Lonchura striata: one gene and its partners. The protein of the gene in region 1 purifies or fractionates together with the protein of each later gene. This does not show direct contact. Links are inferred from orthologs where the notes say so. Each region holds a gene or a part of one and is shown in the gene's direction. Other genes may lie near its edges.

What was found.
Region 2: the proteins of CIAO2B (region 1) and ERCC2 purify together in Homo sapiens (affinity purification with western blotting; 3 studies listed by BioGRID and IntAct, with this or other methods). This does not show direct contact. The link is inferred for Lonchura striata from reciprocal best matches to the Homo sapiens genes CIAO2B and ERCC2.
Region 3: the proteins of CIAO2B (region 1) and MMS19 purify together in Homo sapiens (affinity purification with western blotting; 11 studies listed by BioGRID and IntAct, counting the BioPlex papers as one, with this or other methods). This does not show direct contact. The link is inferred for Lonchura striata from reciprocal best matches to the Homo sapiens genes CIAO2B and MMS19.

Annotation. Positions count from the first base shown.
Region 1 is NC_134615.1:4,216,880-4,226,945, reverse strand, and holds CIAO2B (cytosolic iron-sulfur assembly component 2B), read left to right. Parts: upstream 1-5,489; 5' UTR 5,490-5,535; coding exon 5,536-5,670; intron 5,671-5,748; coding exon 5,749-5,826; intron 5,827-6,626; coding exon 6,627-6,752; intron 6,753-7,212; coding exon 7,213-7,258; intron 7,259-7,717; coding exon 7,718-7,815; 3' UTR 7,816-7,937; downstream 7,938-10,066. Other genes in the region: CES2 (cocaine esterase), read right to left, coding at 1,597-1,698, 1,955-2,108, 2,556-2,689, 2,953-3,091, 3,414-3,618, 4,145-4,223.
Region 2 is NC_134633.1:6,043,661-6,053,640, reverse strand, and holds the start of ERCC2 (general transcription and DNA repair factor IIH helicase subunit XPD), read left to right. Parts: upstream 1-6,269; 5' UTR 6,270-6,275; coding exon 6,276-6,280; intron 6,281-8,299; coding exon 8,300-8,399; intron 8,400-8,679; coding exon 8,680-8,757; intron 8,758-9,980. UniProt on the Homo sapiens protein: ATP-dependent 5'-3' DNA helicase. Component of the general transcription and DNA repair factor IIH (TFIIH) core complex, not absolutely essential for minimal transcription in vitro.
Region 3 is NC_134609.1:18,893,945-18,903,764, forward strand, and holds the start of MMS19 (MMS19 nucleotide excision repair protein homolog), read left to right. Parts: upstream 1-5,660; 5' UTR 5,661-5,681; coding exon 5,682-5,796; intron 5,797-9,333; coding exon 9,334-9,382; intron 9,383-9,820. Other genes in the region: UBTD1 (ubiquitin domain-containing protein 1), read right to left, coding at 868-1,253, 1,481-1,708, 5,432-5,501. UniProt on the Homo sapiens protein: Key component of the cytosolic iron-sulfur protein assembly (CIA) complex, a multiprotein complex that mediates the incorporation of iron-sulfur cluster into apoproteins specifically involved in DNA metabolism and genomic integrity.

The DNA of each region.
Region 1 (10,066 bases):
CACCTTGGACCCTGGGATGGGATGTTGGAAGGAGGAATTCTAGATAGGAGGGGGACAAGGAGTAGCTTTTAGCTGGACTTTTCCATGTTAGCCACAACCTGAACCAAATCTTCTCCTTCAAGAAGGACTGTGTTTTAAGAGGATGCCAGTGAGTCAAGAAACCTACTTCAGCTAAGAAAAAGACAAAAGTAGAGTGAACAAAGAAAAAGTTAGGAGGTTTGTAGTAGCGCCCCCTTGCCCTAGAAAAAAAAGAGAAGAGAAGAAGATCTCTGTTCTTGAGCCCTCAGCCCCAAGGGAAAATGGGGGGGACTCTGGTCCCAAAAAAATGAAAAACTAAACTATTGTTTTCTCCCCTCTTGGCAGGGCATCCTTAAAAGGAAAAATCCTAAAGGCAGTGACCATCCATACATTAATAGTAAGAGCACTGTGCATGGAAAGGAGAAAGGTCACCATGGCAAACTTTTTCTCCAGGCAGTGCCATGTGTAACATAAAAACACAAGATATAAAGCTGTGTTTCTTGAGAGGTCTGTAGCACAGGAAAAACTCTATTCCCTTAATAGACTGAATATCAATTGCTTAAAAGGTAGAAACCTGATTGGGGTCCAGATTGTGTCTCACTGTAGTTTGTTGGAGTTAAGTGGTGGGGGGAGGAATGTTTTGCAAAGTTTTCATTTAGATCTTTGTGTAGTTTTTTTTCCCTTCTTTAGTTTTCTCTTTTCTTTTGTAATAGTAGTTTAATAAAGTTTTTTTTCCTATTATCAAATTTAAGCCTACTTTATTGTATTCTAAATTCCACTTTACAGCATTCAAAGTAAAAATCACATTTTCATAAAAACACTGGCATTGTGCCAGTGTCAAACCATATCAATCACAAAGTGAAATCATTCCGGTGTACTTCTCTTTCTTGTTGTATTTCCATTCACTGTCTTTTCAAACTTTTCTGTAGAGATAATACAAGCTTGTAGAATAAACCAGATAAGGAAAGAAAACTCAGAAACATTTACATTATTACTATCTGGCATGACAGGAAAAGATATTAAAAGGAACTTATAGAAAGTGATTTTATTTTAAGTTTGGGTTTTGTTTTTTGGTTTGTTTGTTGGGTTTTTTTTATATTTAATTAATTTACTTCACATAAAGGCCCTCCTTAAAGGGCTGTAGATTAATAAAAAACTGAATTCTTCTTCTTGTTAAGCTTTCCATAATAAATGCCACCGTTACTGTGTAGAGTACAGTGGATATAAAAATGAACATTTGCCTAGCTTGGCATTTGTGTGACTGAAAATGCCTTTGTCAGCCCACAACTGTTAGAATCATACAGTTGTCCAATCTATTTCTAACACCAACCAGACCAAAATTAAACAGGTGTGCTGCAACAATGAACTGGATCAACTTTCTTGCACAATATACAATGACATTTTCCCCTTTTCTTTTTTAAACAAATTATCACATAGAAGTATCCCCTAGATATCCTTATATATCCTTTATACTTCAGTATCCTTTAGATATCCTGGATAGATATTTAGTATTCCTCTACCCATAGGAAAAGCCTATTTTAGGCTATAAAGACTTTAAATGCAAAACAATGAGCTTACCTCAAGATCTGTTGAAAGATGTAAATTTTTGCTGGGGGGAATTAGAATTCCACTCTCTGATATTGCTTTATGAAAGAGACCCTTAGATAAAGGAGATAACACCTGCCAAGAAGGGAAGAACAAAAAGTATTTATTCTACATTAACATCCTTACCTTACAACTTAATGCTAGCTATAGTCTATTAACTCATGGATTCAGTTGGGAATTATACATCTTGGGATTTATACATCTTTATTTCCTATATCTCCAGATTTAGCCCAATGCGCTGTTAAATTTATGGTCAAAAACCAGATTAAACATGAAATGTTACATTAATTAAGCTTTCAAAGACTTTTATTTTTATCTACTATATACCTACATGTGCAAAAACAGAGCAAGCTCCTGCAGATATCCCGAAGAGAGTGACAGATGCTGGGTCTCCACCGAAGTGCTCGATATTTCCTCGGACCCACCAAAGAGCAGCGACCTGATCCAGGTACGCCCAGTTCCCGCGGGCGTGCTCGTCACCAGTGCTGACAGGAAAGCAGCAGAGCCACTCCTCAGCAGCAGTGACAGTGACAGTGGCACAGCAGAGGCCACCCCAGCAATCTGTGTTTGCTGCAAAGGGACCTCCAGCCCCCCACGCTCACACCTCAGCCCCTGCCCACCCCGGCTCAGGCAGACCCCTGGCCTGTGCTCCACCCGAGGCTTTGCTTTACACAGCAGAGCATGGAAGCAAAGGCCAGAACAAACATCCTGCCCAGCATCAAATAAGCAGGCTGCAATCACATGGCCATGCAGGTGGAATGCACAGACATTTCTTGGTGTTCTGAAGTCCTGATGTCAGTGAATTTTGTACATTTAAACCACTCTAACAGTGGGAAGCTGATATAAAAGTTCAGCACATTTAGCAAACAGAACTACCCGTGCTTTAAACGTGACAGCAAGTACTTTGTAAAAAGTGAAATAAGTGTTCTTACTTAAAGTACCCAAGGAGTCCCAGTCTGTACTGAATTAATACCACCACAACATTCTCGTAGGCTGACAGTGCAGAGCCATCATACCGAGCAGCACCACCAAATATAAAATTGCCTCCATGGATCCACACCATTACCTTGGAAACAATAGGGTGAGACACACCTTAACGCGCTGGTTTGCAGATTTCACTTGAAAAAGGAAAACAACGTCAGATAATTAGGAACACCAAATCACTGAAGCACGATGGCTGCTGAATTTCAGACTGGTGATCTTGGAATTTTACATGCTAATATTATTTCTGCTTGTGCAGCATCACATTTTCAAAGCAATTAACTCTCTTAAGAGCAATCATTACTTGCAAGCTTTATAAATCACAAGTTTGTTCAATGGTTTACATACAGGTAACTTGTCCTTCTTGCTTGAGCCAGCGGGGCTGTAAACACTGAGATACAAACAGTCCTCAGAAGTTTGGAATGCAAGGTGCTTTTCTTTAAAGTTTTTTTCAGCTATTTTCAACAGGGACAGATCTTGAGGACAGCTTCACCAAGGGAAGAAAAAAAAAAAAACAACACAATTATTTGTACTAAACCTACAATAGCATCAAAGTAACAACAGTAGAGAAAACACATTTCTTTTGGTCCCAGCTGAATCCCCACAGGGTGCTTGAATTTTGTGTTACCTATAATCACTGAGAGGTACAGCCTGTAAAAGCACATCTCCACACCTGTACTAGAAATACTCCAGTACTGGCAGTGTATCCACCACCAAGTACCAACAACTCAGCAGAAGCAGCCTCTGCACCCCAATAAACACAACTCTGCAGCACGGGCAGCTTCTGGCTACAAAAGAACTGCTCTCACAGCGGTGGGTAAGAAGTTGCATCTCTCACACCACTCCAGGGTTCAGGCGGTTCAGGTGGAGAAAACCTCAAGGATCCAAGAGGGGCTTTTGCAAAAGGAATTCCAAGGAAAACATTTACAAGCTTGTCTGTGCCCTTCACGCTTGTCTGTGTTCCTTTGAGCCGTCCAAGTGCAATAGTCACCTCTGGCTCAGCACCACTCTGTCCTAAGTAACACAATAGATAAAAAAATAATGAATTAAATTGCATCTTCATAATTATCTCACAGACTATCCCATTAAGTATTTTTAACTGACTGTTTAATTTAGAACATTTCAGTTTATTCCTTTCAATTTTGTTCAGTTTTCATTTTGCTTTGGTGCAGTGAGAGACACCCCCTGCCAAACCCTCCTGCCATTTATACCTGGAGCCATGTAGGGCAGGATATTGTCACTATACAAGAACAAATTTCAGAGCAAACAGCAAAACCATTGGCATTTGCTAAATCTATCATTCAACAAGATCTTAAAAATATTTTGTTTAGAGAATTCACAAATGTTGCTGCTTTCTACTTTTTAAAAAGGACAGAAAACTTAATTTTCATTTTATCATCTCAAACCCAGTAATTTTTGCATCATGAAGGCATTTTTGCAGATTGGTAACCAAGGCACAAGAGATTTACCGCCTTCGTAAAAACCATCGGGAGCTGGTGCAGCGGTTTCCCCGGCAGCAGCAGCAAGTCGCGGGGCTCACCTTCTGTCCCGCACACGAGGAACAAGGCTGCGCTACAAAACAAGGCGCAAAGCCACGCGATCGGGCTCGCAGGAGACATTTTCAGCCCCGGTGGGGCTCCCGGGGACTCTCTCCTGCGGAACAGGAGGGGACAAAGGTCCCAGCGAGGGCACTCGGGGCACGGAACCTGCAGGGAACGCCCCGAGAGGGGCGAAGGCAAACGGGAGTGCCGGACCCGGGGGCGGCACAGCCCTGACTGATCATCGGCACGGCCCCTGATTGATGATCGGCACAGCCCTGACTGATCATCGGCACGGCCCCTGACTGATCATCGGCACGGCCCCTGACTGATGATCGGCACGGCCCCCCCATCACCCGCACAGCCCCTGATCGATCACCCTCACAGCCCCGATCACCGGCGCGGCCCCGACCGCCGCCCCGCGCTCCCCGGTGCCGGCGGTGCCCAGCGCCGCCCGGCGGGCGCCACGGAGCGGCAATCGCAGCTCATTCACCGGCTGTCCGTGCTGGCGGCGGAGAAAGAGGGCGAGTCTGAACGCACTCCGGAGCTTAAATACTATGAAGTTCTTTAAAACCCTCTTAAAACAACAAAAGTATCACCAAAACACCACGACAAGCAAAACAAAGCAACAAAACCCCTAATCCGCCCTCCGCGCCCCAACAACCGGGAGGAGAGATTGCAAATAACTAAAAAGTAACAATAGAAAAATAAGCAAACCAAATCAAAATAGTTAAGACTTGCTTTAATCCCCTTTTAGAGGGGTGTATGAAGCCAAAGCGTGTCATTACTACACTCTGCCACTTCAGTTTAAATTTGCGTGGGGTTCTTTTGTTTGACTTTTCAAAGCAGAGAACATTTCAACAAGTCGCATGGGAGCATCCTTGGCGGCGCCAGGCCCAGCCCGGAGCTGGGCGGACACTGAAGTGTGTCTGTGTGTGCGTGTGTATGTGTGCATGTGTGTGTGCGTGTGTCTGTGTGTGTGTGCATGTGTGTGTGTCTGTGTGTGCGTATGTGTGCATGTGTGTGTGCGTGTGTCTGTGTGTGTGTGCATGTGTGTGTCTCTGTGTCTGTGTCTGTATGTGTCTGTGTGTCTGTGTGTGTGTGCATGTGTGTGTCTCTGTGTGTCTGTGTCTGTGTGCGCGTGTCTGTGTGTGCGTGTATGTGCGTGTGTGTGCCTCTGTGTCTGTGTGCGTCGGTGTATCTCCAGCGGCGGACACCGCGCCGCCGACTCCATTGGCTTCCAACCCGGCGCTCGGTCCGGTCGGAGCTCCGGGGACGCCCGGCAGCCCCGCCCGGCCCGGGCCGCCCGGCAGCCCCGCCCCGCTGCCGGCCCCGCGGGGCGGAGCCCATCGCGCTCCGGGCCGGTTCCGGTGCGGGCGGTTCCGCTGCCGCCATGGTGGGCCCGGGCGCGCCGCCGCTGGAGAACGCGAACCCGCTCGTCTACCGCCGCTCCGGGGAGCGCCCCGTCACCGCCCGCGAGGAGGACGACGAGCTGCCCGACGCCATCGACGACCGGGAGATCTTCGATATCCTGCGGGAGCGGCGGGCAGGGCCGGGCGGGCGGGCGGGCCGGGGCGGGCAGCGCCGCTTTCCTTAACCCGCACATCTCATCCGCTCCATCAATGACCCCGAGCACCCGCTCACCCTGGAGGAGCTCAACGTCGTCGAGGAAGCGCGAGTGAAAGTGAGATCCCGCCGGGATGTGCTGCCTCAGCCGTCCGATATGATATGATATATGATATATGATATATGATATATGATATATGATATATGATATATGATATATTATATATGATATATGATATATGATATATGATATGATATCATATGATATGATATCATATCATATCATATCATATTACTATATATATACTGTAATATTATAATATAATATATAATATACTATTATATTATAATACCATATATATGCTATAATATTATATTATAAATATTATATTATCATACGATACAATATATATAATATAATATCATATACATACTATAATATATATTAGATATTGTATTATAGTATATTATATATATTATATATTATAATATATATTATATTATATTATATTATATTATATTATATTATATTATATTATATTATATTATATTATATTATATTATATTATATTATATTATATTATATTATATTATATTATTGTGTTGTATTATATTCTATTATTATATAATAAGATATAATATAATATTTGAATATATAATAAATTAACAATATAATATTTAAATATAGAATATTTAAATGTATTTACAATAGTTATAATTCTAATGATCACATTACAATATAATATTTTAATATATTTAATATATTGAACATAGTACTTGTCGATTAATAATTTCTAACATTCAAATAGACTTCTCGTGTTTTATAGTATTGAACTATATTTACGGTAGCACGTAAAGGTAGCACTGACGGTGCCCGAGCGGGGCTCGGGGCTGTGGTGCCAGCCGCTGTGCCCGCAGGTGAACGATGCTGAGAGCACGGTGTCGGTGGAGTTCACGCCCACCATCCCCCACTGCAGCATGGCCACCCTCATCGGCCTCTCCATCAAGGTCAAGCTGCTCCGCTCTCTGCCCGACAGGTTCAAGGTGAGCAGTCAAAGCAAAAGAGGGGGGTTGTGTTTGGAAAAAAAGTTTTAAAAGGTAAAAAAAAAAAAAAGAAAAGCTAAGCAGCTTGCAGTGAAAAATAACTAGAGGTTTTTTCATTTTTGGTGTGAGGGGTGCTGCAGGAAGCAGAGAGGGCAGTGGGTGAAATACCAGCGTGCAGTTCTGGGGGTTGTCACGGGCCAGGGGCAATCACTGCAGGCAGTGCTCTGCAGCACAGCAGGAGGGGAGCTCTCACCCTTGTCTGAAGCAGGTTTAACCGTGTACAAATGCAGAATGCTCTGCAATTGTACACTTCTGTTTTATTCTGTTATATAGAATAATTGATAGTGGCAAGAATGTCCTTTCTCTCTTCTTTTTGTTACTATTTCATTTGTATTAGTTTGAACTTAATGTTCCGATGCTTTGTCAAACTCATCCCGTTTCTTTTGTGCTGCTGTTTCAGCTGGATGTTCATATAACACCAGGAACACATGCCTCTGAGCACGCAGGTAAGACTTTTAGTCCTCTCTCGTGTGGCCTTCATATTTGTTTTAATCTTGAAAATTAGTGAGGAGAGAGATTCCCACAGCTGCAGAGCAGCTGCTCAGTGCCTGGGACTTTCTGTGCGTCAGATTCTGGGGGATGTTCCACAACAGAACATGGAGTGCTGCAGTGTTCTGTGCACATCTCCTCAGGCAGCCTGTGCTCTCAGACATCACTGCTGATTTGCCTGAGCACTGGGAACAGGGGAGGAAACGGGGATTTTTTGTGTCACACCCGTGGAGCAGCTCCTGCTGCTGAATCCCAGGCAGCTCCTGCACAGCTGCTGTGCCAGAGAGGCTCCGTGCTGAGACAGCAGCTGGGTGCCCTGGGCATCCCCAGCCCTGCAGCTGGGATGGTGGGGCTCGGCGTGAGCACAGCGAGTCCCAGTGTCCTGACTGGTTTCTCGTGGGCTTTTTCCTGCACAGTTAATAAACAGCTCGCTGATAAGGAACGTGTGGCAGCTGCTTTGGAAAACTCTCACCTGCTGGAAGTGGTGAATCAGTGTTTGTCTGCTCGGTCATAATTGCCTGGTGAGGAAATCATTGGTGTTCTGATCTACTTAACTAATTTTGTATATATGCGGTGATGTTACAAATTATATAAAACTGTGAGCAAAATAAAATCACTTAAATTCTCTTGAGGAAATGCTTCTTTGCTCTTTTAAAAAATACTGTGTGGGGAGTTAGCTTACAGACAGCTACAAAAATATAATAAAAATGAGCTTTTTAATTGTATTGAGTAATTGCATAGGTACAGTTTTCCATTAACCATTTTTTTCAACCTGTTTTTAACTGGTTTCTCACTATTAAAAATAAGTTATAAACTGCATCTTAGAAGTGGATTTTGCACACTGCATTTCACAAGTACACCAAGATAACTTTTAGGTAAAATCTTTACATTCCTGTGACAGTTTCGGACTGTTAATACAGTTTCACTTTCAGACATCACAAGTTGTACAAGCTGGTGTGTGCAGAGTTGGAGGACATTTAGCAGTACGTGTCCACACTTCCAAATCACGTCTGATTTTAATTATCTTACCTTAGATTAGCCAAATGTGGAGGGCTCTTTAGACCTGTGTAAAACATGATTTATTTTTAATTACTGCTTCATTGTGGTAGGAAATAGAGTATCTTTGAAGAGGTGTTATTTGTGCACCTGCAATACAGGAGTCATTACCAGTTCTCAGTATGAGCAGCCCAGCAGGCTCTGCTGAAAGATTGTCTTGGCAGTGTTTGACAAGTTTTGCTCTAAGTGCTTTGAGATTTAATGCTAAAACTCAACTTATTCTTCTGGTTCCTATTTGGGAACTGCGCCATTCATTAAACTGTTGTCTTTGGTAGACCTTGACAATAGAAAAACTCATTAAAAATTAATCTGAATTTTTGTAAAGGATGTCTCTAGTCCTGGACCACATGGAAAAATAACAACCTGTTGAGAAATCCTGCTGGGTGTTTTGGTACATGCATCCATTGCGATGTTGCCTTCTTTGCCATCAGTTATCTGGAAAATAAGAAATACACTTTCTAAAAATATAGGTTGTGCTCACCAGTTTGATGGCAGTGCTTTGCACTCCAGGAGTATTTTCCCTGGGAGGGTCTCAGATGCTGTTTGAAAAGGGTGAAGCTTATGGACATTGTGTGAAGCTCAGCCTGGCAGTCCAGTTGAGTGCTCCAAGTGTGACGTCCAAAGTCACACAGCAAAGCAGGAGAGGAACAAAGCCAGACCTTCCCAGTCCAGAGCTGAGCTTCCCTGTCTGCACAGGGCTGCAGAAAGCCAACTCTGCAGCAGCCTCAGCCTGCTCGTTTGGCTCAGCAGCCTTTGAATGGGCTGGGATGTATGAATGAAACTGCAAATAAAGACAGTATTTATGTAATATTAATATTGGGCAAGGAACAGAACAACCCAGCTTTGCTCTGCCTCTTATTGAGTCACTGAACTGATTAGTTCTGACATTGCCAGCATTTGCACCACAGATGAAACTCCAGCCATGGTAATGCATGCTGGCAGCTCCCAGGCACCACGCTTGGGTGGTTTGATTTTGTTTTCTGGTTTTTGGTGGCTTTTTACAAAGAAAATAAATTTTGCCCCCAAATTTTGGGGGGAGAAAGAAATGCAAGTATGTGCCAGGGGGAATACAGGAGGATGACTAAGCTGACAACAGATTGCTTCAACCTGCACTCCAAACAGAGAAGGGATCAGTAAATGGTGCTTTGCTGAAGCTCTCTGCTTGGCTTTCATCACTTCATAATACTAGTGCTAAATAATTTATTGGAATGTTGGCACTTGCCTTATGAAACACACTGTGCACAGCAGCCCCGGGGATGCACTTTGGACCATTTGCCTTCTCAGAGAAGCAATAGAATGTGTTTGATGGTTTGCATTTACCGTTAATCATTGAGGGATGATTTTCAAAGCAGAGGTCTGACTTCTGCTGTTTAGGGATGGAGAATCTGATTAGTTTAGATCTGGTGTGTTTAAGTGATGTGGATGTTGTATTTATCATAGAACAAACCACAGTGGCTTTGCTGAAGGCCCAGGCCCTCCTATCCAGGCTCCTTTAGCTCTGTACTTGCTGATAATGTACCACCAGTTCTGGTAGAAACCTTCCATCCTGCTCTTGAAGATCATTAGCTGGTTCCTATTGCATGGAGACAAAGTGGGAGAAGAAAACACTAATTTGTTAGAAATATTTATTTTCAAATGTTTATTAGGCCAAAATGCCACCCCTAAATTTAGTCTCTGGAATGCTTTGTAATAGGACACCTTCCATGAGA
Region 2 (9,980 bases), on another chromosome or scaffold:
TTCCCATTTTCCCCCCAAATTCCCGATTTTCCCCAAATCCTGGGATTTTTGCCCCGTTCCAGCCCCGGCCCGGCCGTCGGTGTTCGAGCGCCTCGGGGCCGAGGCCAAAGCGGCCGCGGGGAAGGTGAGGGGGATCCCGGGGATCCTGAGGGATCCGGGGGGATCCAGGGGGGATCCCGGGGATCCGGGGGGATCCAGAGGGATCTGGGGGATCCGGAGGGATCTGGGGGATCCGGAGGGATTTTGGGGGGGATCGGGGGGGATCCAGGGGATCCGGGGGGATCCAGAGGGATCTGGGGGGATCCGGAGGGATCTGGGGGGATCTGGGGGGGGATCCTGGGGGGATCTCGGGGATCTGGATGGATTGGGGGGATCCGGAGGGATCTGGGGGGAATCCGGAGGGATCTGGGGGGGATTAAGGCAGGGGTCCAGTGGGGGATCCTGGGGGGATCCTGGGGGATCTGGGGGAGTCCAGAGGGATCTGGGGGGAATCCTGGGGGGATTTGGGGGGATCTGGGGGTAACTGGGGGGATCCAGGGGGATTTTGGGCAACTTGGAGGGGATTTGGGGAGTCCAGAGGGATCTGGGGGGATCCAGAGGGATCTGGGGGGGATTAAGGCGGGGGTCCAGTGGGGGATCCTGGGGGATCTGGGGGAGTCCAGAGGGATCTGGGGGGAATCCCGGGGGGATCTGGGGGGATCCTGAGGGATTTGGGGGGGATCCGGGGGGATCGGGGAGGTCCAAGGGGAATTTGGGGGTAACTGGGGGGATCCAGGAGGATTTTGGGGGACTTGGAGGGGATTTGGGGGGATCCTGAGGGATCGGGGGGGATCCAGGAGGATTTGGGGGGGGGTGGGGGGGTGGTGGTGTCCAGAGGGATCCTGGGGGATCTGGAATCCAGGGCGGGATCTGGGATCCACTTGGGGATCGGCATGGGGGGATCCTGGGCGGGATTTGGGATCCGGGGCAGGATCAGGAGTCAGGACCCAGGGTGGAATCAGGCTCAGGGATCCAGGGCGGGATCTGGGATCCACTCAGGGATGGGCCATGTGGGATCTGGGGCAGGATCTGGAATCCAGGGCGGGATCTGGGATCCACTTGGGGATCAGCCAGGCGGGATCCTGGGTGGGATTTGGGATCTGGGGCAGGATCAGGAGTTGGGATCCAGAGCGGGATCAGGCTCAGGGACCCAGGGCGGGATCTGGGACCCACTGGGGGATCCGGGATCCACCCTGGACCGACTGGGGGATCCGGGATCCACCCTGCACCCACTGGGGGATCCGGGATCCACCCTGCACCCACTGGGGGATCCGGGATCCACCCTGCACCCGCGTCCCCGCAGCCCTCGGGGGTGTTCAGCCGCCTGGGCGCGGCACCGGGGGACTCGCCGGGGGATCCGCCGGGGGATCGGCCGGGGGATCCGGCGGATCCCGAGGCGCTGCCGTACGCCGGCGTGCTGAAGCGGCGCCGCGAGGGCGCCGGGCCGGCGGCGCAGGACGGCGCCGTGTCCAGCAGCAGCTCCGGTGGCGTCTTCCGCAGGCTGGGCCGCCCGCCCCGCTGAGAGCCCGTCCCGGGGATCCACCGGGATCCACCGGGATCCACCGGGATCCACCGGCAACAAGAACTGGGGTCCCTGCGAGAGGGGATCCTGCTGGATCCGCTGGGATCCACTGGCAACAAGAACTGGGGTCCCTGCGAGAGGGGATCCCACTGGATCTTCCGGGATCCCCTTGGAATCAGCAGGAATTGGCCGGGATCTGCCAGGATCCAATGGGCGAGAGCCGGTCCCGGGGATCCACCGGGATCCACTGGCAACAAGAACTGGGGTCCCTGGCAGTGGGGATCCTGCCGGATCCACTGGGATCCCCTTGGAATCAGCGGGAATGGGCTGGGATCTGCCAGGATCTGATGGGAGCGACGGCGAGAGCGGATCCACTGGGATCCACCGGGATCCACCGGGACTGGCAACAAGAACTGGGGTCCCTGCGAGAGGGGATCCCGCTGGATCCACCGGGATCTGCCGGGATCCACTGGCAACAAGAACTGGGGTCCCTGCGAGAGGGGATCCTGCTGGATCTGCGGGGATCCCCTTGGAATCAGCGGGAATTGGCTGGGATCTGCTGGAATCTGATGGGAGCAACGGCGAGAGCGGATCCACTGGGATCCACCGGGATCCACCGGGACTGGCAACAAGAACTGGGGGCCCTGCGAGGGGGGATCCTGCTGGGATCCCGCCGGGATCAGCCGGGATCTGGCGGGACGGGTGGCGAGATCGGGGATCCTTGTGAGTGGGGATCTGGCCGGATCCACCGGGATCCCCCTGGAATCCGCCGGGACCGGCACCAGGAGCGGGGATCTGTGTGTGTGAGTGGGGATCCAGCTGGGATCGACCCCGGGGGATCCCTCGGGATTGAGCGGGAATAGAGGGGATCCCCTGGGGAAAAAAGGGGGGGATCCAGCTGGAATCGAGGGGGATCCAGCCGGAATCGAGGGGGGATCCCCTGGGAATCGAGGAGGATCCAGCCGGAATCTAGGGGGATCCAGCCGGAATCGAGGGGGGATCCAGTCGGAATCGAGGGGGATCCCCTGGGGAAAAAAGGGGGGATCCAGCTGGAATCGAGGGGGGATCCAGCCAGAATCGAGGGGATCCCCTGGGAATTGAGATGATCCCCTGGGAATCGAGGGGGATCCAGCCGGAATCAAGGGAGGATCCAGCCGGAATCGAGGGGGGATCCAGCCGGAATCGAGGGGATCCCCTGGGAATCGAGGGGGATCCAGCCGGAATCGAGGGGATCCCCTGGGAATCGAGGGGGATCCAGCCGGAATCGAGGGGATCCCCTGGGAATCGAGGGGGATCCAGCCGGAATTGAGAGGATCCCCTGGGAATCGAGGGGGGATCCAGCCGGAATCGAGGGGATCCCCTGGGAATCGAGGGGGATCCAGCCGGAATCGAGGGGGGATCCAGCCGGAATCGAGGGGGGATCCAGCCGGAATCGAGGGGATCCCCTGGGAATTCCCCCCGGAACCGAGGCTGGATCCCGTGCGGATCCCGTGGGAACCCCCGGGTGGATCCCCCCAGCAGATCCCGAGGCCAAAGCAGCCCCAAAATCTCCTTTTTTCCCCCCAAATTCCCGGATCCTTTCCCGGGATTCGGGAGCCCAGGCCCCCAAATCCCAGCCGGGGCCGGATTTGTATTCCCAAGTTTTGGGGTTTTATTCCCAAATTTTCTGGGGTTTTATTCCCAATTTTGGGGTTTTATTCCCAATTTTGGGGTTTTATTCCCAATTTTGGGGTTTTAGTCCAAATTTTTTGGGTTTTAGTCAAAATTTCTGGATTTTTATTCCAAATTTCTGGATTTTTATTCCCAATTTCTGGATTTTTATTCCAAATTTCTGGGGTTTTATTCCCAATTTTGGGGTTTTATTCCCATTTTCTGGATTTTTATTCCCAATTTTTTGGGTTTTATTCCCAAAATTTCTGGATTTTTATTCCCAATTTCTGGGGTTTTATTCCCAATTTCTGTAGTTTTATTCCCAATTTCTGGATTTTTATACCAAATTTCTGGATTTTTATTCCAAATTTCTGGATTTTTAGTCCAAATTTTTTGGGTTTTATTCCCAAAATTTCTGGGGTTTTATTCCCAATTTCTGGATTTTTATTCCAAATTTCTGGGGTTTTATTCCCAAATTTTCTGGGGTTTTATTCCAAATTTTGGGGTTTTAGTCCAAATTTTTTGGGTTTTAGTCAAAATTTCTGGATTTTTATTCCAAATTTCTGGATTTTTATTCCCAATTTCTGGATTTTTATTCCAAATTTCTGGGGTTTTATTCCCAATTTTGGGGTTTTATTCCCAATTTCTGGATTTTTAGTCCAAATTTTTTGGGTTTTATTCCCAAAATTTCTGGGGTTTTATTCCCAATTTCTGGATTTTTATTCCAAATTTCTGGGGTTTTATTCCAAATTTCTGGGGTTTTATTCCCAATATCTGTAGTTTTATTCCCAATTTCTGGATTTTTATTCCTAATTTCTGGGGTTTTATTCCCAATATCTGTAGTTTTATTCCCAATTTCTGGATTTTTATTCCCAATTTCTGGATTTTTATTCCAAATTTCTGGGGTTTTATTCCCAATTTCTGGATTTTTATTCCAAATTTCTGGGGTTTTATTCCCAATTTCTGGGGGTTTATTCCCAATTTCTGGGGTTTTATTCCCGATTTCTGGATTTTTATTCCCAATTTTCTGGGGTTTTATTCCCAATTTTCTGGGGTTTGATTCCCAATATTTGGGGGGTTTTATTCCCACTTTCTGGATTTTTTTTCCCATTTTCTTGGATTTTTATTCCCATTTCCCCCCAAAAAATTTTGTTTAAAAAAAAAAAAAAAAAATTAAAATCCCTGAGGGGAATTTTAGGAGCAACTTCCCAAAAAAAACCCCAAATCCTTCCTAAAAAACCCTAAATCTTCAAAAAACCCCAAAATCCACCCAAAAAAAAACCCCAAATCCTCCCCAAAAACCCCAAATCCCCCCAAACGTCCCAAAATCGCTTCAATTTGTGGATTTTGGCCCCAGGGCTTCCCAGAAATTCCAAAATTCTTCATTTCCCCCAAATTCCCTCTGGCCACAAACCCCAAAATTGGGATTTTGGCCCCAAAATTGGCCATTTTTGTTCTTCCCCAAAATCAGTTTTTTTTTCTTCCCCAGAATTGGGGTTTTCCCCCAAAATTTGGGTTTTTTACCCCAAAATTGAGGGTTTTTTACCCCAAAATTGAGGCTTTTTTTCCCCCAAAATTGAGGTATTTTTCCTCAAAATTGAGGTTTTTTTACCCCAAAATTGAGGCTTTTTTTCCCCCAAAATTGAGGTATTTTTCCTCAAAATCGAGGTTTTTGTATTCCCTAAAATTGGGGTATTTTTCCCCAAAATTGGGTTTTTTCCCCCCAAAAAGAATTCGGGGCAGGGGACACCGAGCTGGGGGATTTTTTAATCAGGAAAAAAATGAAATTTGGGATTTTTCCGATCCAATTTGTGCCTTTAACCCGAATTTGGGATTTTTTTCCCCCAAATTTGGGATTTTCCTCCACCAATTTGCGCCTTTTCCCCCAAATTTGGGATTTTTACTTGGTTTTTTTTCCCCAAATTTGGGATTTTTTTCTCCTTCAATTTGGGTTTTTCTCCTCCAATTTGGGACTTTTGTGGTTTTTTTCCCCAAATTTGGGATTTTTTTCTCCTTCAATTTGGGTTTTTCCCCCAAATTTGGGATTTTCCGCTCCGCTTTGTGTTTTCCCCTCAAATTTGGGACTTTTATTTGTGTTTTTTCCCCAAATTTGAGATTTTTTTCCCCCAAATTTGGGATTTTTTTCCCCAAATTTGGGATTTTTTTTTCCCTCCGATTTGTGCCTTTCCGCCCAAATTTGGGACTTAAATATTATTTGTGTTTTTCCCCAAATTTGGGATTTTCTCCCCAAATCCCGGCTGGTTTTTTGCCGGCGCTTCGGGTGAATTCTCGCGGGAGCTTTTTTGGCAATAAAAGCGTGAAATGCAAATAAAATTAATTTATGCAGATTTATGCAAATGAGTTTCATTAACGGATAGGTGTGGGAGGCCACGCCCCTCTCTCACCCCGCCCTCGGTGACGTCACAGCCGCAAATCCAAAAAAAATCCCCCAAATTTTGGTCGCCCCTCCCCCAAAAATCCCAAAAAAAACCCCCAAAAAATCCCCAAAAACCCAAAAAAATCCAAAAAACCCCAAAAATCCCCAAAATTTTTGGCCGTTCTCCCCAAAGTCCTCAAAAATTTTTTTAAAAATCCAAAAAATCACCAAAATTCCCCAAATTTTTTTGTCGCCCCTCCCCCGATGTCTCCAAATGCCCCCAAAAATCCCCGAAAATTCCCCAAAAATCCCAAAAAATCTCCAAAAAAACCCCAAAATCCGCAAATTTCTTCTCATCCCCCACCCCGACAATGTCTCCAAAAATCCAAAATTTTAATCGCGCTTCCCCCAATGTCCCCAAAGACCCGAAAATTCCCCAAAATTCCCCAAAAATCCCCAAAAAACCCCCAAAATCCCCAAATTTTTCCTCTCTGCCCCCACCAGCCTCCCCCGATCCATCGCTCGGCGCTCGATTGCTCCTCCCCGGCAGCGCTCTCCCCCCCCCCCGTGAGTGGCAGCTGCGGCAGCCAATGGGAGAGCGAGGCGGGATCAGCGCTGACCAATGGGAATGCGCGGGGCCGGCGGGGGGCGGGGCCTCGGCGGCGGCGCGAGGCAGCGGCGCGAGCCATGAAGTGAGGGGGGATTTTGGGGGAATTTGGGGGATTTTGGGGAATTTTGGGGAATTTTGGGGATTTTTGGGGAGTTTTGGATTTTTTGGGGGGAATCCGAAGGGATTTGGGGCGATCTGAGGGAGATTTTGGGGGTTTGGGGTGAAATTTTGGGAGTTTTGGGGTGAATTTCGGGGGGATTTTTTTGGGAAATTGGGGGGGAATTTTCGGGATTTTGGGAAATTTTGGGGCGGTTTGGGGGAGACTTTGAGGGAATTCGATGGGGTTTGGGGGGAATTTGGGGGGGAATTTTGGGGAGATTTTGGGGGATTTGGGAAATTTGAGGGGAATTTGGAAGGATTTGGGGGAGTTTTGGGGGAATTTTGGGGATTTGAGGGAATTTTGGTGAATTTGGGAGGATTTGGGAGGGTTGGGCAGAATTTTGGGGGAATTTGGGAAATTCGAGGGAATTTTGGGGGGTTCTGGGGGAGTTTGAGGGGTTTGGGGAGTATTTTGGGGCTTTTTGTGGGAATTTTCGGGGGACTTTTGGAGGAATGTTGGGACCTTTTTGGGATTTGGGGGGTTTGGGGAGAATTTGAGGGGATTTGGGTGGAATCTTGGTTTTTTTGGCGGGGATTTGAGGGGATTTTGGAGGATTTGAAGGGATTTGGGGGGAATTTGGGGTTTTGGGAGAGATTTGAGGGGATTTTGGTGAATTTTGAGGGATTTTTGGGGAAATTTTGGGATTTTGGGGGAATTTGGGGGGGATTTTGGTGAATTTTGATGGATTTTTGGGGTTTGGGGAGGAATTTTGGGGTGATTTTGGAGAATTTGAGGGGGGTTGGGGATTTTTGGGGGGATCTGAGGGAATTTTGGGACTTTCGAGCCACCCCTGCCCCCCCCCCGAGGATCTGAGGCTGTTCAAAGGCTCCGGAACTCCCCAGGTCCCCCAAAATCCCCCAAATTCCCTCCAAAATCACCCCAAAATCCCTCGGGATCCACCCCTGGAACCCACTGGATCCCCTGGGATCCCCCAGGCTGAACGAGGACGGGCTCCTGGTGCTGTTCCAAACCCCAAAATTCCCCAAAATCCTCCCAAAATCCCCTCAAAAACCCTTTCAAAACCCCCCAAAATGCCCCAAATCCCCCAAAATCCCTCAGGATCCACTCCTGGAACCCACTGGATCCCGCAGGCTGAACATGGACGGGTTCCTGGTGCTGCTCCAAACCCCAAAATCCTCCCAAAATCCCCCCCAATCCTTCCCAAATCCCCCCAAATCCCCCCCGAAATCCCCTAAATCTCCCCTAAACCCCCCAAAATCCCTCGGGATCCACCCCTGGAACCCACTGGATCCCCCGGGATCCCCCAGGCTGAACGTGAACGGGTTCCTGGTGCTGTTCCAAACCCCAAAATTCCCCAAAATCCCCCCCAATCCTTCCCAAATCCCCCCAAATCCCCTCCAAAATCCCCTAAATCTCCCCTAAACCCCCCAAAATCCCTCGGGATCCACCCCTGGAATCCACTGGATCCCCCGGGATCCCCCAGGCTGAACGTGGACGGGCTCCTGGTGTTGCTCCAAACCCCCAAATCCCCCAAATCCTCTCAAAATCCCCTCAAAAACCCTTTCAAAAACCCCCCAAATCCCCTAAATCTCCCCTAAACCCCCCAAAATCCCTCGGGATCCACTCCTGGAATCCACCGGATCCCGCTGGATCCCGCAGGCTGAACGTGGACAGGCTCCTGGTGCTGCTCCAAACCCCAAAATTCCCCAAAATCCCCTCAAAAATCCCCTCAAAAACCCCCAAATCCTCCGAAATCCCTCGGGATCCACCCCTGGAACCCACTGGATCCCCCGGGATCCCCCAGGCTGAACGAGGACGGGCTCCTGGTGCTGTTCCAAACCCCAAAATCCTCCCAAAATCCTCCCAAATCCCCCCCAATCCTTCCCAAATCCCCTCCAAAATCCCCTAAATCTCCCCTAAACCCCCCAAATCCCTCGGGATCCACCCCTGGAATCCACCGGATCCCCCGGGATCCCGCAGGCTGAACGTGGACGGGCTCCTGGTGCTGTTCCCCTACGAGTTCATCTACCCCGAGCAGTTCTCCTACATGCTGGAGCTGAAGCGCACGCTGGACGCCAAGGTGGGATCCACCCCGGGATTCACCGAGGGGATCCACCCCGGGGATCCGCCCCGGGGATCCACCCCGGGGATCCACCCCGGGGATCCACCCCCGGCTGGGATTTGGGGGCCCGGGCTGCCGAATCCCGGGAAAGGATCCGGGAAATTGGGGGGGAAAAAGGAGATTTTGGGGCTGTTTTGGCCTCGGGATCTGCGGGGGGGATCCACCCGCGGGATCCACCCGGACCCGGGGGATCGGGCGGGATCCGCCCCCCCTGAGCGCCCCTCCCCTCCCCCCCCAGGGCCACGGGGTGCTGGAGATGCCGTCGGGCACCGGGAAAACGATCGCGCTGCTCGCCCTCATCGTCGCCTACCAGCGGGTGCGGATCCGCCGGATCCCGCCGGATCCGGGGGGATCTGGGGGATCTGGAGGGGATTTGGGGGATTTGGGGGGATCTGGAGGGGTTTTGGGGGGGATCTGGAGGGGTTTTGGGGGGATCTGGAGAGGTTTGGGTGAGTTTTGGGGGGATCTGGAGGGATCTGGAGGGGTTTTGGGGGGATCTGGGGGGATCTGGAGGGGTTTTGGGGGATTTGGGGGGATCTGGAGGGGTTTTGGGGGATTTGGGGGGATCTGGAGGGGTTTTGGGGGATTTGGGGGGGTTTTGGGGGGATCTGGGGGGGTTTCGGGGGGATCTGGGGGGGATTTGGGGGGATCTGGAGAGGTTTGGGTGAGTTTTGGGGGGATCTGGAGGGATCTGGGGGGATCTGGAGGGGTTTTGGCAGGTCTGAAGGATTCTGGGGGGATCTGGGCTGATTTTGGGGGGGATCTGGGGGGGATCTGAGACGATCGGGGGGGATCTGGGGGGATCTGGAGGGGTTTGGGGGGGGGTCTGAGGGATCCTGGGGGATCTCGGAGGGATTTTGGGGAGTCTGGGGGGATCTGGAGGGGTTTTGGGGGGATCTGGGGGGGATTTGGGGGGATCTGGGGGAGATTTGGGGGGATCTGGGTGTGGGGTTGGGGGGGGTCTGAGGGATCCTGGGGGATCTCGGAGGGATTTTGGGGAGTCTGGGGGGATCTGGGGGGGATTTGGGGGGGATCTGGGGGGGTTTGGGGGGATCTGGGTGTGGGGTTTGGGGGAGTCTGAGGGATCCTGGGGGATCTGGGGGGGTTTGGGGGGGATCTGGGTGGGTTTGGGGGGGATCTGGAGGGGTTTTGGCAGGTCTGAAGGATTCTGGGGGGATCTGGGCTGATTTTGGGGGGGATCTGGGGGGGATCGGAGACGATCTGGAGGGGTTTGGGGGGGGGTCTGAGGGATCCTGGGGGATCTCGGAGGGATCTGGGGGGGTTTCAGGGGGATCTGGGGGGGATTTGGGGGGATCTGGAGAGTTTTGGGGGGATCTGGGGGGGTTTGGGGGGGGTCTGAGGGATCCTGGGGGATCTCGGAGGGATCTGGGGGGGTTTCAGGGGGATCTGGGGGGGATTTGGGGGGATCTGGAGAGTTTTGGGGGGATCTGGAAGGATCTGGAGGGATCTGGGGGGTTTTGGGGGGATCTGGGGGGGTTGGGGGGGATCTGGGTGAGTTTGGGGGGGATCTGGAGGGGT
Region 3 (9,820 bases), on another chromosome or scaffold:
CAGCTACACGTCACTGTTACCCTCCTGGGCACTTCCCAGGGCCATCCTTGGGTGCCTTGGCCCACGGGTGTGACAGCCTCCCACAGCAGAAAGACACTGTTTTCACCAGGGCAGGCCATGGTGGCCATGAAGGTACTCTTGGGACTGTTCCCCTCCATGGACAGTCCCAGCTAGCACAAGGGCAGACACAAGCATATAGCTCCAGAGGGGAGGCACCATGAAACAGAGGTGGTGACCCCACACTAAGAAGCAGCTGGGATGACAATGGGACAATGCAGGGGAAGGATCCTGGCAAGCAAACAGCTCTGGCAGGACAGGGTCAGGGTAGCACTAGGGAGCAGAGACAGGGTGTCCAGGGTATCCTTGACCACCCTGTGCCCATTCTGACATGGGAGCAGATACAGAACAGGCACAGGGACCTCCTGTGGCTGTGGGCCAGCCCCCTCCAGCCTGTCTCCAAGGCCAGAGGAAGGATGAAAAGGCTTTATTGATAAATATAGACTATGTACAGAGGGGAGACATCTCCACCCAGCCCAGCACCCCACGAGTCTCCTGGCCAGGGGGAAGCCAGAGCCCAGTGGGTCACAGCCTCTCGCTGCCGGCACTGCCTGGCAGAGGAGCCCCAGCCCCAGAGACATTTGGTCTCAAACCTCCTTCAGCAAACACGGCGCCTGCCCGTGTCCCCAGCCAAGGGGAGCCACCACGGTGGCACAGCCCCATGCAGACTTTCCTGGGGGGTCACCTGTGTGGCAGCCTCAGGGGGGAGAAGGTGCAGCTCCAGATGGGCCAGAACACAACACAGGGAATCCCCAGAGGTGCCACTGTCCTCAGCCCCCTGCCCTCTCCCCTCAACCAGTAGGGGGTGGCTCAGTTCCTGGGTGGAAGGGGCTGGTTGACAATCACTTGCACAACAAAATCCTTCTGGATCTTGGTCTCCTGCAGTCGCGTGCGGTCAGTGAGCAGCTTGCCTGAGAAGAACCATCGCTGCCAGGCCAGGTCAATGCCCTCCTGCGCCTGCAGCTGCTTCTTCAGCTGCCCGATGGTGTCACTCATGCTGGCGCTGAGCCGCAGGTCCTTGCCGGTGGAGAGGCGCACCTTGAGGGTGAACTCCCGCCGGGCATTGGGCAGAGGCTCCGCCGGCTCCACCGCCTCCTCCTCGCTCCGCTCCAGGATCAGGTTGACGGGGGGTGCAAGGCAGTAGACGGGCAGCTGGTACCGGTTGCCCAGCTCATCATAGCACTCCGTCAGGGACCCTGGGGACAGCAGGATAAGATGCTAAGGGTGGGCATCCCCATGGACCACTCAAATGGGGACAGGGCCACCTCAAGCAGTATGGCACAGCCTGCCTTACTCCCCCTGGCTGGACTGAGCTCTGGATAGCAGGTGGGAGCCCCTTTCTACTCCAGCCTGAGACCCCCATGTGCCCAGATACGGGGCACTCAGCACACATCCCATGCAAACCCCCAGTGCTGACCCTCACCATGGGGCAGGGTGATGCTGGCTCCATCGAGGATGGCCTGGGCCAGGCTGTGGTCATTGGCTTCTACAGCATAGGCAGCTGCCTTCAGGGCATCCCAGATCTCCTTGCGGCCTTCAAAGGCTGGTGCCGTGTCCCAGAACTCGTCCCGCTTGCTGCGCAGCTGCCCGTCTGTCATGGGGTAGTCACTCTTCCACTTGGGACACTCCTTCTTCAGGGGCTCATTGCGCCCTGCAGAGGGGGGATATTCAGCCAAAGGACAGGGTTTTCCCTCAGGTCCTGAACCTCCCACCTCCCCATAACCACAGGTTCTTCCTGGGAATCTCCCGCACCCCAGCAAGGGTCTGAGGGATCACCCTGTCCAGTGAACAACAGCCCCCAGTGTAGCCAGGGGTAACGGGGCTAAAGCAAGCCTGGCCCAAGATCCCACTGGCCCCACAGCAGTTGTTCCCCCAAGTGACACCCTTTGCCCCCAGAGGGGACAAGGGCTCTTGCTTCCTTATTTGTGGGACCAGCCACTGCCCCCTAGGGTGGCCACAGGGCCTCAGGGCCCTTTGAGGCAGAGCAGTATTTATAGCTTGGGGAATTAGCCAGGAAATAAGCTGGTGAGTCGGAGCGAGAAGGGGATTACAAAGGCTGAGCTGCAGCAAAGGGGGGTCAGGACTTCACTGTCCCCTCTGCCCACCCTGGGATGACAGGGACCAGCTGCAGGCAAGACAGCATCCCAGGCATCAGGGGAACAGAGGGCATCACTGACAGACTGCAGGTGCCCCAGCAACGAGCTGAACTGAACTGGCTCTCCATGAAACAGCTCCTAGCCACATCCCCACAGACCTTCAGCAGCCAGCATTGCCCAGGGGCTTGAGGCACCCCAGTGCCAGTCCCAGAGCATCATGCCCTCACTACGCTGGGCTGTGGCCCTGTGGGAACAGCCCCATCTCATCAGTCCCACAGCCAGGCCGGACACGTGGGGCAGGAAGGAGTTGTCACTCCCAGCTGAGCTGGGGACAATGAATGATAACAGCTCCTTCCTGTCACCCCCCTCCCTGAGCTGGCCCGGCAGCACCCCTCCTGTGGGGACAGGATGAGGGGAAAGTGAGGCTCCAGCTGGGCACAAAGATGCCTGTGCCCACACAGCGACCTGCCAGACAAGGTGATGCCACACACCCCAGGCACCGGAGACAGCCACCACTGCCAGCTGTGGGCTGAGCCAAGGTGCCCAGGCAGCTGCTCCTGAGCAAGTGTGCGGTGACACAGAGCGCTACGTGACCTTTTTGATTGTACCGACCCTGCCTCACCCGACCCAGGACCACTAGAGCCAGCACAGCATCTGCTTCCCAGCAAGCACCCACCTCAGGGTGTGCCCAAGGGGCACAGGTGCTCAGCTACCCCAGGGCTGGGCACCAAGAATCCCTGGCAGGCAGCATCCATCCTGCCCACACCCTGGAGGAGCAAGGGCAGCCGACTGCAGCCAGTGCTGCCGATTCAGCAGTCACGGTGCTGGGCCAGAGGGATTTGCAGCACCACAGGACATGGCAAGGTCAGAGGCAACACCTGCCCCAGGAGGGCAGCGGAGAAGTGTCCACAGCCAGCCTGAAGGACATGTCTGGGATCATGTCCCTACACTGCTATGGCCACCAGGCTGGGGCACACGTTCCCACAGCCAGGACTCCTGGCCAGCACTGCCAGTCAGCACCATTCCCCCAGCTCTGCTTGCAACAAAGGCTGGCCCAGGAAAGGAGCTGTGGGGGTCGGCTGTGGCAGGGACCGGCTGTGGCTGCCTCGTGTGTACAGACATAACCAGCAGCCTTGCCCAGGTAGGCAGGGGCTTAAGCCTAGTCTATTTATTGCTACCGCCCAGCTGGGCCTGCACCTTCTAATCACCTCCTGCTGCTCTATTCCTAGCCCCTTGTGCAACTCTCCACAGCAGCACCACCAGACAGGTCCATCCGCTCTCTGTGCCCGGACTCGAGCCAACAGGATCTGGCTGGCAGCCTGCTGCCTCCTGCCCTGTGCCTGCAGCTCCCTGCCCGTGGCTCAGCACCCTGCAGTGCCCTCGTGAGGGACCCCCGGGCAGAAGGATGTGACCCAAAGGCTTCCCTGCCCTGGGCCTGCTCCCTGCCTGCAGGAGCCTTAGGCAGCCTCAGATGACAGGTCCTGGAGGCCCCAGAGAAGATGTCAGCCAGAAGGCACACACCACTGCTTCCAGCAGTGCTGGCTGGTCCACTCCCGAGTCAGGCAGGGTTGGGATGCTGCGTGCCACGGGCATGCCCAGCTCCTGCTGTGGTAAGCTGGCCACCCTGGGGACAATGCTGTCACCTGCTTCTGGGAGTCATCAAAGGACCCCTCCACAGGGGGTCACAACAAGCCCCAGCCAGAGCAGGAGCTGGCCAGGGAGGTGGGATGCTTAGCAGAGTCCTTGAGGCAGCAGAGGTGGGCAGGCAGAGCCCCCATCCCTGCTGATGGTAGGTCCTTGTGTACTGGGACCTGCTGGCCCAGGGCACTGTCCCCATACTGCTGGTAAGAGCAGCTGTAGCCTTGCTTCACCCCCACCACTTGCTGAGCAGCTCCCATGGGCTGGTGGAACCATGCAAACAAAGGTAGGAAGCAGCCAGGGCACCTGGCACAAGGGACAGCCTTGCTCTGCCAGGAAGGGACATACTGGAAGAAAGCAGCAGCAGTGACTGACAGCGGTATATCAGGGAGGGACCACGACCCATCCCAGGAGAGCAAGTGGGGATGGAGTCACAGGCTCTGCAGCCAGCTGTTGCCTGGCACGAGAGGGGATCACACAGATCCAGATGTTGGGATCTCACCCCATCCCCCATCACATCCTGATGCTACAAGGCAATGGCCCCACATTCCACCAAGCTGAGGGAACAGCCAGCCAGGAGCCCCAGGCCTCACCCATACCCGCAAGAAGGCACTGCTGGGGGACAAAGCGTGTCGGGGTGGGGGGGGCCATCACCCCAGTACATCCCAGCAGGGCATCCCCGGGGCAGGCTGGCACACCTGGAGCCCCACGCGGCGGGGGCGGCTGCCCACGGCACGGGCACAGCCCGGCCCAGCAGCCTCGGCACCCTGCACGTGCTGCCGGAGTGGCGGGCAGCGTCCCACGGAAAACGCCCTTCCCTCCCGCATGCCAGCTGCAGGCGAGGGCCGGGGCGTCCCGTCCCGGGCACACGCTTCCTGCCCCTCCTCTCCGCCGCCCACTACCGCTCTGCCATAAACACGGTAATTACCGGCTGCGACGGCACCGGCCGGGGAGGCGGCAAAGGAAAGGCGTGATTCATCCTACCAGCCCACGGCTTCTCCGCCGAAAGTCCACCGTACCCATCCCCGCGGCCTCCGGGACCCTCCGGCACGGCATCACGGGGAAGCGCCTCACGGCACCCGGGTGTTCGGTAACTCCGGGGGCCGCGAGGCTGCACCGGCCCCGCCGGCGCTCCCAGACCGGCGCGGCCGCTCCCCGCCCCACCCGCGGCTCCCGAAGCCCCCGCCGGCAGCAGCCGGGAGAACGGGACAGCACGGACCGCGGGCAGGCAGGACCCGCCGCGCCGCGCGGGGGACGCTGCCGAGCCCAGACCGGGGCAGCCGCCACCCTGCCGTCCTCCCAGGACGGCACTTCCCGGGAGGAGCCGGGAACAGGCAGGGCTCGGCTGGACCCGCTGCGCACCCCAGCCCTGACCCCGCAAAGCCTCCGGGGCGCCGGGACGGGAGCCGCGGTTCCCGTCCGCTCCCGAGGCCCCGCACCGAACCGGGATCCCCGGGGTCCGAAACCCCGAGGGCACAGAGCGGCTCCCGGGGTTGTGCGAGGGAGAAGTTGTCCCGTGGCGAGCTGCACCTCTCCGGTGCCCACGTTCCCCCGGCACCACCCCCAGGGGGACACCGGACCCCCCTCCGCCCCAGTGCCCGCGATCGCGGGGGCGCCCAGCCCGCAGGACCCCCGCTCACCTGCTCGCTTGCGGGTGTTGCCGCCGGCGGCGGGCCGCTCCCGGCGCTGCCGCCCCACGCAGCCGCCCATGGCGGGGCCGACCGGCGGCGCTCGGCATCGGGGCCGCGCCGGCTCCGCGCTGCGCCCGCCCGTGCGCGCGGGGCCCGCTGTGCGCGCGGGGCCGCCCCGCCCCCGGGCGCACGTGACCGCCGGCACCGCCCCCGCGCACGCGCAGGCGGGGGGCGGGGCGCGGCCCTGCGCGCGGGTGTCATGGCGGCGGCCGGGCCCGGGCCCGGGGCCGGGGCGGAGGCTCAGGCTCTCGCCGCCTCCGTCCGGGACTTCGTGTCCGGGCAGCAGGACGGCCGTGCCGCGGAGGTGGCGGCAGGTACCGCGCGGGGGCGGGGCGGGACTGGGCGTGGGCACGGCAGCGGAGCCGGGCAGGGCCTGGGGCGGGCGTGGGCACGGGCGGGTCGTGGCGGTGTGGGGAGGGGTTTGTGAGGGAGCGTGGGGCTGGGCTGGCCGGGCAGGGTGTGGGGACGCGGGACGGAGCGTGTCTGCGGGTTGTGAGGCTGCCGTGCGGGGCAGGGCACGTGGGATTGGGTAGGGCAGGGCCTGCAGCTCGGAGCTGCCAAGGAGGTGTGCGGTGGGTGAGGGGCTCCAGGAGCGAGGCAGGTGTGGCTGGCAGAGAAATGACTGTGGGACGATAGCTCATGGCCTTGCTGAGGGACCGTAGGAGGTGGCAGTTGCAGACTACCCTCACTGTGGTTTCTCCCCCTTTCCTAGCAGGACTTGAGGCGTTTGCTTTGGTCGGATAATTTATCCTCCTCCTTCGAACAGCAGTTGGGTGACTTTGTTGCATTAGGGAAGTTACAGCTTCAGGACTGTGACTTTCTAAGGATAAGGTGATATTTTTGTGTGTGTAGGCAGTGGCTTCAGCATGTTTTGGGAAGGAGCTCTGAGAGCCGAGAAGGGCTGTCTGTGTATGTTACATTACACACACGGGTGGCTTCTAGGTCTTTCCCAAGGCATGGTGGTTTGTGAACTGCTATGTGGTGTCTTGGTGATGAGATGAGCTGGCAAAACAGAAAGGTAACCCAGTGGCCCATGTAACACAGAGTGAAGAAATTGCCAAGGAAATTTGTAGAAATTCATTAAACTACATGATATTCAACATGTTGCAGAAGAGTTACACAGTCTCCAACATATTTGGGATATACGTGGGGAAGGATAACCTTACAACTGTTGTTATCACCTGATGTCATGTTACAGAAGTGCCTGGAGAAAGCTTTGTCTCTTGGAAGACATACAAAGAGAATTCCTCCCCACTTGCTTCTCCCAGCTTTTTTCAGCCATGTGGCTCTTTTGACAAAGCCACCTTCACAAACAGTGGGGCTGGCAAGTGTCCTTGAGCCCTTCTGACCTTGTACAGAACCACACATCAGAAAGGATTAAATTGCTTTGTGTATCCTTGAGCAAAAGGATAGGGAGGTCTTTCCTAAGCTCATGGCCATTGTGCAATTGCTGTAACAAACACATTGAGCTTCACCGGTTTGTTGCTAAGGACTAAAATGAGCGTAACTTGGCAAGTGGCAGAAAAGCCTTGGTGCTGTCACATGCAGGTTGGGCTGCATGGGTCACTGGCTGGCAGGAAGAGGCTGATTTCATCTTTCTTAAAAAATGGGGAGAGAAGGATACTGCTGCTACAGAATCCATTACACATTCCCTGTGAATGTTGTGCTTACATTTTGAAGGTATGGGAGAAACAAGAATGGAAGTCCTCCAGAAGCAACTAATACCTAGAAGGACACTGAAAGGGGGAGAGACCTTTCAGGAGAGAGAGCAGGTTGGTTCAGAGTAGCAATCCAGCACAGGGTGAATGGCTTGTTTCTGTTAAGTCTCTGGGAGCTACAGGAATGCCAGAATAGCAAGTCAGCCCCTCTTGGTAAAGGGATTCAGGGTGCCTAATTAACCTTGGGGCATATGTGCTGCTGCCAGATGTGGAGGTAGCAGTTTCAGGGGCTCACCACTGTGCCTGCCGTGCTGATGAGGCAGGTCCAATTAGCTGTGCTCACGCTGTGGCCTGTGCACGAGCACAGCACACTCACAGGCTGTGTCAGGGAGGGGTGGCCACACCATGTGAGGCAAAGCTGGTCACACCTGGTCCCTGAGAACAGAGGGAGCTCCCTTGCTGAGCAAAGGAGCTGCTGACCTCGGGGTGTATCAGTACCTGACTGTGGTTTGGCCATCACACGGTAGCTCTTTCTGTTGAGTAGGGAGCCAGAAGCTTTGTGTAGAGCTGCTTTCAGTCTCTGCAGACACAGAGAGGCAGAGCACCTGGCCACAGAGATGGCATTTGTGTCAGATTTTTTCTCTGATGGTGCAGAGGCACAAGGGCTCTTCATGAGCTTGCAGAGCAAGATGTTGGGATGCTGGATGTGGAGGAGCCATCTAAGCTCTCTCTGCAGCCCACTCTGCTTTGGCTTGTGCAAAGCATTTCCTTGCTGTTTCACTGTTGTTTTTCTGCAGGAAATTTTGCCAGCATGTCATGGCTGTCTCTGAGGGTGCCCCCTTTTCAGTCTGTGCCCGTCAATTCTGAGACCTGCTGGGTTCTTTATCCACACAGCTCCCCTTATCTGTTCTGTTTCTCAGCTCAGGCTCCTTTTCCCTGCTGCTCCAGGCAGAATTGAAAGCTCTGTCTCTGGAGTCAAGACTGCCTGCTGTCAGAACACACTGTCAGAAAACGCTGTCATCTTGTCCCTAGAGACAGCCCTATGATGAACAGTGTGTCTTAATGGTGGAATTAACTGCTTAGGAAGAGACAGTAAAGGCTTGCAACAGCAGGAGACACTAGCAGGAACAAGGCCTGGGAAAGCCCATAATGAAACCTTCTGAGAGGGTAAGTTCCCTGTCAGTTGTGCAGGTTCAGCAGGGCAGAGAGGTGAGCAGGTCCCTCCAGAGTGCCCAAAAGTATCCCTGGGCAAAGACAGTGAGTCTTAGTGACTGCCAGGTGATTTGGGTTTTTTTCTGGAGGAATGCTGTTTTGTCCAGGCAGAAAGTGAGGGGTGCTGCTTGTTTTCCAGCAATGTCACTTGACACCTGAGCTGCAGGTTAGGGGTCTGAAAGTAAGGCAGTTCCTTGCCTGCCACCCTATGTCTGAGCAGAGGATGTACACAGAGCTTTCCTTCTGGGGAGGTGCCACAGTGGCAATGGGTGGCAGGAGTGGAGAACCTGCCGTTCTGCCAAGGTTCTTGTACAGTGCAGCAAGTCCTTAGCAAAGCCTCCTGAGGAGTGACTCTTCCCCCAGTTGAGTTGCAAGAATATGGAGGTAGTAGGTGAATGAGGCAACCTGGCAAGGAATCTGAGTCAGAGTTGGAAATAGACACCAGGAATCCCAGCATTTTATCTTCCTCTGACCACAAAACTGCCTTTCTCCCTGCCCATCTTGGAAGAGGTTAGCGCAGTTTTGCACAGTGTGGAGGTGCTGGAGCCAAGGTGGGAAGCTGAGTGATCACTAGTGTCTGGGCTGCTTGTTCAGCCAGTTCTCCCTCAGGAAGCACCTGGAGAGCTGCCCTCTGTCTCCTCTCAGCATGCTTACATTAGAGAAGGGGGTTTTAGTATCTCAGAGAGGTGGAACTCAGCAAGACTTCTCTTAGGAGCCACACATACAGCCATGCTTCAGGGAGAGGGTGAGGCAAAGTGCAGGCCGTTTCTCCCCTGGCCATCTCCTCTCAGCTCTCAGTCTCAGAGGTGTTTGCAGGCAGGGCTGGAGGCAGCTCCAGCAGTTAAGTGCACATGGCTGCTTTGGCACTTTAGTGAGGAGTCAGCACTGACTGACCATTCTCAGTGCAGTGCAGGGATATGTCCCAGCATCCATCTCCAGTAACATGATCTCTGGTTCACTCTCTTTACCTCCTTTCTCCAGGGGTGAAAGATGGAAGGTGGACAGTGCTGCAGCTTGTGGAAGCCCTGGGGTAAGAAAAGCCTTATGCAAGTTATACATTGGGTAAGGGCCTTGCAGGGGACATTCCCACAAGGAGGCATAGTGAGAAGGACAAGTGTGCTCATCCAGGATGAGCTTCAGCACTGGATGACACGTTGCAGCAGGCAGGATGTTGTCTGCTCACAGCGTGGGGCTTAAGCAGTGCTTTGCCCTCCCTAGATGTGGGAGCTCTCTGGGAAAGAGCAAGGCTGGAGCAGCTCTTGATGCTCTCCCAGGACAGAGGAGAGATGCTGTGGCAGGCAGCATGCTGCAGGGCACTTTTCAGTTGGGGCTGTCCCCAGCAGGAGCTGCCTGAGCACACAGGTGCACAACACCATGTCACAAGTTGGCTGGCACTCAGCTTCTGCCTTTGTCTCCAAACTGTCATGGCCTAGGCTCATTTCTCCCAAGCTGGGGGCTGGGTTTGCCT